Danio rerio: one gene and its partner. The protein of the gene in region 1 binds, or shares a complex with, the protein of each later gene. Links are inferred from orthologs where the notes say so. Each region holds a gene or a part of one and is shown on either strand. Other genes may lie near its edges. The genes, in order: cacnb3a and stac3.

Region 1 (4,579 bases):
TGATTTGAAAGGGCATACACCTATCTCTATAAGGGGCCCAGGGTTGACAGTGCATGCCAAAGCACAAACCAAGCATGAAGACAAAGGAATTTTCTGTAGACCTCAGAGAGAGGATTGTCTTGAGGCACAAGGCTGGGGAAGATTACAGAAAGATTTTTGCTGCCCTGAAAGTTCAAATGAGCACAGTGGCTTCCATCATCCATAAGTGGAGGATGTTTGGAACCACCAGGATGCTTCCTAGAGCTGGCCGGCCATCTAAGCTGAGTGATCGGGAAGAAGGGCCTTAGTCAGGGAGGTGATCAATACCTCGATGTTTACTCTGTGTGAGCTCCAGTGTTCTTCTGTGGAGAGAGGGGAAATTAACAGAAGGACAACCATCTGTATAGCAATCGACCAATCAGACCTGTATGGTAGAGTGGCCAGATGGAAGCCACTCTTTAGTAAACGGCGCATAGCAGCCCACCTGAAATTTGCCAAAAGGCATCTGAAACGAAATTCTCTGGTCTGATGAGACTAAAATTGAGCTCTTTGGAGTGAATGCCAAACGTTACGTTTGGAGAAAACCAGACACCGCTCATCACCAGGCTAATAGCATACCTACAGTAAAGCATGGTGGTGGCAGCATCATGCTGTGAGGATGCTTTTCAGTAGCAGGAACTGGAAGACTAGTCAGGATAGAGAGAAAGATGAATGCAGCAATGTACAGAGACATCCTAAATGAAAACCTGCTTCAGAGTGCTATTGACCTCAGACTGGAGCAACAGCTCATCTTCCAACAGGACAATGACCCAAAGTACACCACCAAAAAATCAATAGAGTGGCTTCACAAAACTCTGTGAATGTCCTTGAGTGGCCCAGCCAGAGTCCGGAACTAAATCTTATTGAACAGCTCTGGAAAGATCTGAGAATGGCTGCAAACCATCGCTTACCATAAAGCTTGAGAGGTTCTGGAAAGAGGAAAGGGCAAAAATTCCCAAAATAGGGTGTGCCAAGCCTGTGGCATCATATTCAGAAGACTTGAGGCTGTAATTGCTGCCAAAGGTGCATCAACAAAGTATTGTGCAAAGGCTGTGAATACTTATGTACATGTGATTTTTCAGCTTTTTCATTTTTTAAAAATTTTCAACAATTAATTTTTTTTTCACATTATCATTATTGGGTATTGTGTGGAATATTTTGAGGAAATAAATGAGTTTAATCTGTTTTGCTATAAGGCTGTAAAAAAATGTGGAAAAGGTGAAGCACTATGAATACTTTCTGGATGCACTGCATAATATATATATATATATATATATATATATATATATATATATATATATATATATATATATATATATATATATATATATATATTCCTTTAAATAGGCTAAAGATTTCTGGTGACTTATGAGTTGTAGTTTGCAACATTGTATGGAAGACTAATATACATGATGTACAGTACAAGAGAGGCAAATATAGAATGCTCTGGAGAGAGAGAGAGAGAGAGAGAGAGAGAGAGAGAGAGAGAGAGAGAGAGAGAGAGAGAGAGAGAGAGATCATTACAAAACGCGCATGCACAAGAAACAGACACATTGCATTTGTCCACCTGTATTACTATCTTGATTTACGAAACCCAGCGCGAGGGAATTAATCAACGGCTCCGTGCGAATGCAGTCAAACAGAAGGCGGTTTTCCTGTTCAACCGTGATACTCTCTTCTTCCTCGGCGGTCATGTGTGTTTCGCATCGCTGTTTCTTCCAGTAAGCACCAATGCATGCATGCACCCGCCTCCCCTGCGCTCTCAAATAGATGGTGCAAGTAAAGATGTCCAAATCTTCCGCAGACCCTCTGTCTGGGGTAGAAAGCGCTTCTCAGTCGCACTATTTCCAGGTAAGACTTTTGGGGGGGATTTGTATACGTTGTCGCAAATGGTTAATTTGCTGCTACTTGTTGTTGAGCAGTCGTGCATTTAAGCGCTTCATATATCCGCAGAGGGCTACAGCTACACAATCTGCCCGTGTATAACGCCTTTATCGCGCTTTTAATCAGACGCGCGCAGTTTTAATGAGGCGAGATGTTGATCAAATGTGTTGATGCTTCTCCATCCGCCAAACTCACATTTCTTGTTTTTTTCCCCTCCGCCCTGAGATTTCACACCGCAACCGAGGCCTCATCTTTCGGGCCAGGCATCAGTAGACACAGTGTTCATTAAACAGTTCAAACACAGTCAATTTCTACTGAGTTTTGATAAACGGGGTTACAATCTCGTTCAATACTCTTATGGTGGACCATTGTCGGTCAAGGTTCTCACCTGTAGCCAACATCCGTCCATTGGTCACCTGTTTCTGCTTGAAATTATAGATTAATCTAGTTGCTGTGTTTTTAACCTGTTAGCTGGTAGGTCTGCGTTAGCTATTATTTGGTTAAAATAGTATTATTTAGTTCATGAATCTTATACGGATAGACCACTTTGGACTGGCATCAACACTGTATCAACTGGTCATACTAGTTCAGGAGGTTTTTTGGGAATTTATATGGTCAGTTAGCATCAAAAGTTAATCATGTTCCTCGGCAGAGCTACCATCTTAACCTGATTTTACAATACGGTCTCAAGGCAGTTTGTTAATTTTGACTTATTTTTCTATTTTGGGGAACTGGTGGCTACATTTTAACCAAATTGCTGTTAGTCAAGATGGTTAGCTTTAGAATAGACAAATTTTCTGTAAACTGAATAGTTCTGAATGGTTCTAAAGAAAAGAAAAAAAAACATCGTATGACGAAGACAAAGTACAGTCAGAATCTAGACTAATTTTGCTGTAACTTACACAAAATAGTTTTTAATCATCCTAATGAAAAACATCAGCTGACTAAAACAAAGTACAGTCAGAATCACTCATTAAAAGTCACTAATTTAATTTCTGTATGGTAGACCCTTACTGGTCAAAACAAAAGTCTCACTTGTGGCCAACACCAGTCCATCGGGCATCTGCTACTGCTTGAAATGATAGATTAAGCTTGTTTCAGTGTTTTTGAACATGCGAGCTGGTTTCTGCACACCTAATTTGGCTATTATTTAGTTAAAAATACTTAATATCTGGTCCAAGCTTGTGTGTAGACCACTTGACTAGCACCAACACTACCAGCTGGTCATTCTGGGGTTCAGGTGGGTTTTTGAGAAACGGTATATGGTCAGCTAGCATGTAAACAAAGGTTAATCACAATTCTCAACAGAGCTACCATCTTAACCTGGTTTTACAATACGGTCTCAAGGCAGTTTGTTCATTTTGACTGATTTGTCCATTTTGGCGAACTGGTGGCTAAAGTTTTAACCAACTAGCAGTTAGTCAAGAGGGTTAGCCTTAGATTAGACCAATTTTGCTCTAACTGACACAAATAGTTCTGAATGGTCCTAAAGAAAAAAAAAATTACATGATGAAGACAAAGTATAGCCATCTAGGGATTAGTATTGTTAAATAAAGTTTAAAAATCACTCATTCAAATCCCTTATGGTAGAGTCCATTGGTCACCTGTTCTTGCTTGAAATGCTATAGATTAAGCATGTTGCATTGTTTCCGAATATGCTAGCTGGATTCTACACACCTAAATTGGCTATTATTTGGTTCAAAAGAGTAAATATCTCCTCCAAGCTTGTCTGTAGACCACTTTGGACTGGCATCAACAGTGAACCAGCTGGTCATATGGGGTTCAGGTCGGTTTTTAGGAAATGGTATAGGGTCAGCTGCATGTAAACAAACGTTGATCACGTTGCTCAACAGAGCTAAGCTGATTTTACAATACGATCTCAAGGCTGTTTGTCCATTTTGACTTATTTGTCTATTTTGGTGAACTGATGGCTACATTTTAACCAACTAGCAGTTAGTCAAGAGGGTTAGCCTTAAATTAGACCAAATTTCCTGTAACTGACACAAAATAGTCCTAAAGAAAAAAACATTAGATAACAAAGACAAAGTAGAGTTAGAATCTAGGGATTGGCATTGATGAACAAAGTTAAAAAGTCCCCCATTTAATTCCCTTATGGTTAACCCTTATTTATATATATATATATATAACCTGTCTCATTTGTAGCCAACATCGGTCACCTAGCTGTTGTTGCTTGAAATACTATAGATTAAGCTAATTCCAGTGTTTTTGAACATGCTACCTCATTTCTATACACCCAAATTGGCTATTATTTGGTTAAAAAGAGTAAATATCTGGTCCAAGCTTGTCTGTAGACCACTTTGGACTGGCATCAACACTGTACCAGCTGGTCATACTGGGGTTCAGGAGGATTTTTGAGAAATGGTACTGTACATGATCAGCTGTTTAGTTTGTAATTAATTGCCAACATACTGTAAATCGCAAAATCACAACTAACATCCTTACCTGATTTTAGAATACAGTTTGTTCATGTTTGACTTACTGTATTTGTGCAGTTTTTGCTGAATTGGTTTGTATTAATATTTACAATCTCATTGGTATGTTTCATTTAATCTTCTTAACACCTCATTTAAAGTTATGTTTAGGATTTTCATGCTTTATCTTTTGCAAATCATGTTTTTAAACATGATTCAATTCAATGAACTCAAATTAAATCACC
Region 2 (4,377 bases), on another chromosome or scaffold:
GTAATATATATATATATATATATATATATATATATATATATATATATATATATATATATATATATATATATATATATATATATATATATATAATCACATAATCATCATCATTATACATAAAAACCCAGAAAGATTTGTACACCTGAAATATATTACTGACCTATTTCTGGTATATTGTTGTTTTGATTACTCATATTGCTCTCATTTTCAGTTGCTTTGAATAAACGTGTTTGCCAAATGCTTATTGAATGTATGAATTGTATGTGGCTGTTGTGGAATAAAGCTGTAACAGCTGCCACAAGCCCCTGAACATTGGCGTAAATAAGCTTTTAATAAGCTAAATCCTATTTTCTGGCACTTGAGCCAGAGAGTCACAGTAATAGATGAGATGTGCTACTGTATGAATATGTCATTTTTGTTTTTTGAGATATGATGAAAGCTGGAAAATGAAGCTCATGTTCTCAATCTTTTGTTTAGTATATCCATTATTGTAAATTTAGCAATCAGTGTAGCAATTAGTGTCCTGGGTCTGCCCCGAGGCCTATAGGTAGGCGTTCAGGAGGCTTCTGAAACAGATGCCCGAGCCACCTCAGCTGACTTCTCTGGATGTGGAGGAGCAGCGGCTCTACTCTGAGCTCCTCCCAGGTGACAGAGCTCCTCACCCTATCCATAAGGTTCATTCCGCTGTGGCGACCTCTAAGCTGAAGGAAAATGAATGAATAAATTAATATATTTCCTGTGATTGGTCTGTACATGTTTGGAGGACCCCAAGGAACCTAACACATTTTTTTTCCCCAGGGCCAGCCCGAACACCAGCCGGTGACCCACTCACACCTGCGGCTTCTCCAGGATGGACGTCCAGCGTTCTCCAGCCTCAATTGGTCAACTGGTGAAGTTCCTCCTCTGTCGCCACTGTCCTGCTTGGTTTGGGACTTGTGGAGATGCACATGGATGGATTTGCTCTTCAGTGTTTGGACTCTCAGCAGTGAAGATTCAACCACACTGAACTGAACTGAGCTCTGAACACTGGACTGACACGGCTTCAGTTCACTAGAACTTCTGTGTTCAGCTGCTGCCACACAATCTACACTGTAGAAGAGCTGGAGTTTTATTCACTTGGCTAGAAAGTGCTTCTTCATTAATGAATTAATTAAATATATTTATTACTGTGTGACATTAGAGAAGTCATAATGTTTAGTAAAAAGGTGCTGTTCAGCTGCAGGCCTGCTGTGAGTGTGTGAAGGTCTGCATGTGTGCCTGTCTGTCAGAGGGACAGATATACAGAGAGACTCGTATTACTCTCCGTCATCTAACACCTGCTGAAAACACTCACAGTGACACACACACACACACACACACACACACACACACACACAAAGTGTTCAATCCTCAGTTCAGAGCAGTCTGGTTATTACTGAGTTAAGATTATCTTCTGTGCTGAAGCAAATATTAACTTATCTGTATCAGGGTCACACCTCACTGACTGAAAACTGGGATTATAGCACAGAAACACATCATCTACAGGTGTGTATGCTTGAACTTGCTTGTTCTGATGGCATGATTTAGTGGTTGTGTGCATTTAAATCTTTTCTATGTATAGTCTAGAAAACGTTTCTGATTTGTTCCTGTAGCTCAGTTTAGTGAGAGATCCTGAATTTGTTGGCCTCAAAAAAAGTTTCCAACTCAGATATAGAAGTTGTGTGTGTGGATTTGAGGATTTCATCATGCTCTCATGTGTACAAATTAACTGTGAAACCTTTTTGTGTTCATTTATTCCATAATAAACAGGTGTATGTAGGGTGTGACATGATCATTGCACTGCATTCGCCACCCTGAAATTACTTTATTTTCAATAAGAGAACCAGAAATCTGTCTCAACACGGAGTGGACATCCTCAGATTCCCAATTTCGCACTGCAAGGTCAACATTAGAAACACCCAGTGGTGGAAAGAGTACAGTAAAATCATGCTTAAGTACAAGCACATACTTGCCTAAAACTGTAGTGCAGTAGAGTAAAAGTGTCTGCTGTAAATATTACTCAGTATAGCTTTCAAACGTACTCAAGAGTAGGGAGTATTACACTGTGAAAAGCTGATGCGTTTACATGTAACTTGCACATGTGTGTGTGTAAACGTAAGATTCTGTAGTGCATCTAGTGATTGCCCAGCAGGTACACAATGTCATAAGACGTTAATATTAGGTTAGATTTAAGTTGTGATGTCGGGAAACCAAAATTCAGTTTCTAACCAGTGCAAATCAAATGACGTTGATATTTGGTTGATTTTAGGTTTTTAGAAAGTGACCAAAATCTAATGTCGCGCCAACACCTTAAACCAACATCACATTGACGTCACATACTGATATTATTTCATCAGGTATGGCAACCGAAATCCAACATCTGATAGACGTCATAGTGGTAACGTCCACACAACGTCAAGCTGTAACATCATTAGACGTTGATTTTAGGTTGATTTCAGGTTTAACGTTAGACATTGACGTTGGCCTGACATTGAGTTCTGACGTCAAACTGATTTTCACTTCCAAACAAAATGCACTGTCTCCAAGATGTTAGTGTACAAGGTCAATCTGACGTCATGTTGACGTCTTGTGCCTGCTGGCTGTTTAAGGCCATTTGGCTCATCATATAGTAAACATTTGCCATCTTCTCATCAGTGATGTGCATCTAAACAGTCTCTGGGTCAGTGAGTGTGAAGATTGTGGACATCTTCTTTTATGCACTTTAAATGCTTCTAAACAGTTTGCTGCAATTATAAATCATCTTGAGGTAGTTCATTATGAGGTGACTTACCTTCAGTGTGTGATTTGATCAGACAGGAACCACAGGACTGATCTCTCTAATCTCCATAGACAAGAAAAAATACAGTAGTGACTGCAGGATGAAGGAAATTAGTGGAGTAAAAGTACAGATACTGCAGTAAACGTACTCAAGGGAAAGTAAAAGCCCACATTTATAAAACTGCTCTCTAAATTACAATTCCTGAGAAAACTACTTTGTTACAGTAAATTGAGTATTTGTAATTAGTTACTTTACACCACTGGAAACACCTAATCACAGCGGCTAATATGTCAGTGATCATAGCACTTTACAAACATGTGTTTACAAGTCAGAATCTAATAATTATGATGATTTGTCAAGAGAGATATGAATACTCAGACCACTTCAGGAGGTGTTCTGATGTGCATGAGAGATGTGCTCTCGTTTAAAACCACATATTATGCGCACATGACGATCCACATTTCTTACAGGATGCTCCACTGACCTGTGGGGTTCCCCAGGGCTCTATTTTGGCCCCGTTGTTATTTTCCATTTGCATGCTCCCTCTCTGATCTATTTTGAGAAAATGTGGGCATCGTTGCAGGAATTACACACCGGTTTACTTCCCAGCACACAATTTAGTTTTTAATAGACGTTTAATAGACATCTAAGCATAAACAGCTTGGCTAAAACAAGACTAAACTTGGGCTGTCAGTGAAAATCTAATAGACATCTAAGAATAGCCCAAAACTAGACTATAGTCGTCAAGTGGACAGATTAGACAGACTCTATATGTGTAGTCCTTCATTTCTGTTTATTTGATGGCTAGTCTAGTTTTAACCTATGGACGTCTATTAGATGTTCAGCCCAAGTTTATCCTTGTTTGAGCTGAGATGACATTGTTTGGACGTCTATCAGACATCTATTAGACATCTTTTAAAAACAAAAAATGCTTGCTGGGTTGCTAGTGGTTAATGTAAACGCTTTTCAGAATCAGACAGATATCTGATCAGAGTAAACGCATGAAGAGAGCAGGTGTACACAAGCTGGAGTTTTCTTGAAGCTGGTGAGTGTCTCCTGCAGGTGCGGATTTCTGCTGACTGACTGCGTCTGAAGAGGCTGGACTGATGGCTCAATATGACCAGTGAGTGTTTGACAGATTAAACAGTCTTTCAGGAGCATTATATAAGATTACAGCTATCCTAATGCTCAATGTGTTCCAGACTGGAGGATAAAGACTCGCTGGACATCCACGATAACCCTCCAGCGCCAGAGAATGTGGTGAAAGAGGACGACAACACTGTACGTATGATCACCTTCTCTTATTAGCTCTCATTCAACACACATTTGTAAATACAGGAGTGAATTATTTGTGTAGCACAAAGCTTCCTGAAAACCCTATTCACAAACACTTGTCAGAACTGAGATATATTTAAATATGAACTGTTGTTTAACTTATTAAACTAAATTAATTAATAAATAAAGGGTGTGTGCTCCCTCATTCATAATCTGCATAAACCCACCTATGCCGGAAATCAAAATGCTCTGCCATCACTTTTGATTTGATTAAATATTAGTCATTTTTAAGCCTTGTTAAATTG

What was found.
Region 2: cacnb3a (region 1) and stac3 share a complex: the UniProt entries of both Homo sapiens proteins name them as parts of the calcium channel complex. The link is inferred for Danio rerio from reciprocal best matches to the Homo sapiens genes CACNB3 and STAC3.

Annotation. Positions count from the first base shown.
Region 1 is NC_133198.1:15,636,179-15,640,757, forward strand, and holds the start of cacnb3a (voltage-dependent L-type calcium channel subunit beta-3a), read left to right. Parts: upstream 1-1,540; 5' UTR 1,541-1,788; coding exon 1,789-1,869; intron 1,870-4,579. UniProt on the Homo sapiens protein: Regulatory subunit of the voltage-gated calcium channel that gives rise to L-type calcium currents. Increases CACNA1B peak calcium current and shifts the voltage dependencies of channel activation and inactivation.
Region 2 is NC_133184.1:263,284-267,660, forward strand, and holds the start of stac3 (SH3 and cysteine-rich domain-containing protein 3), read left to right. Parts: upstream 1-1,376; 5' UTR 1,377-1,524; intron 1,525-3,767; exon of another isoform or gene 3,768-3,859; 5' UTR 3,860-3,903; coding exon 3,904-3,920; intron 3,921-3,999; coding exon 4,000-4,078; intron 4,079-4,377. UniProt on the Homo sapiens protein: Required for normal excitation-contraction coupling in skeletal muscle and for normal muscle contraction in response to membrane depolarization. Required for normal Ca(2+) release from the sarcplasmic reticulum, which ultimately leads to muscle contraction.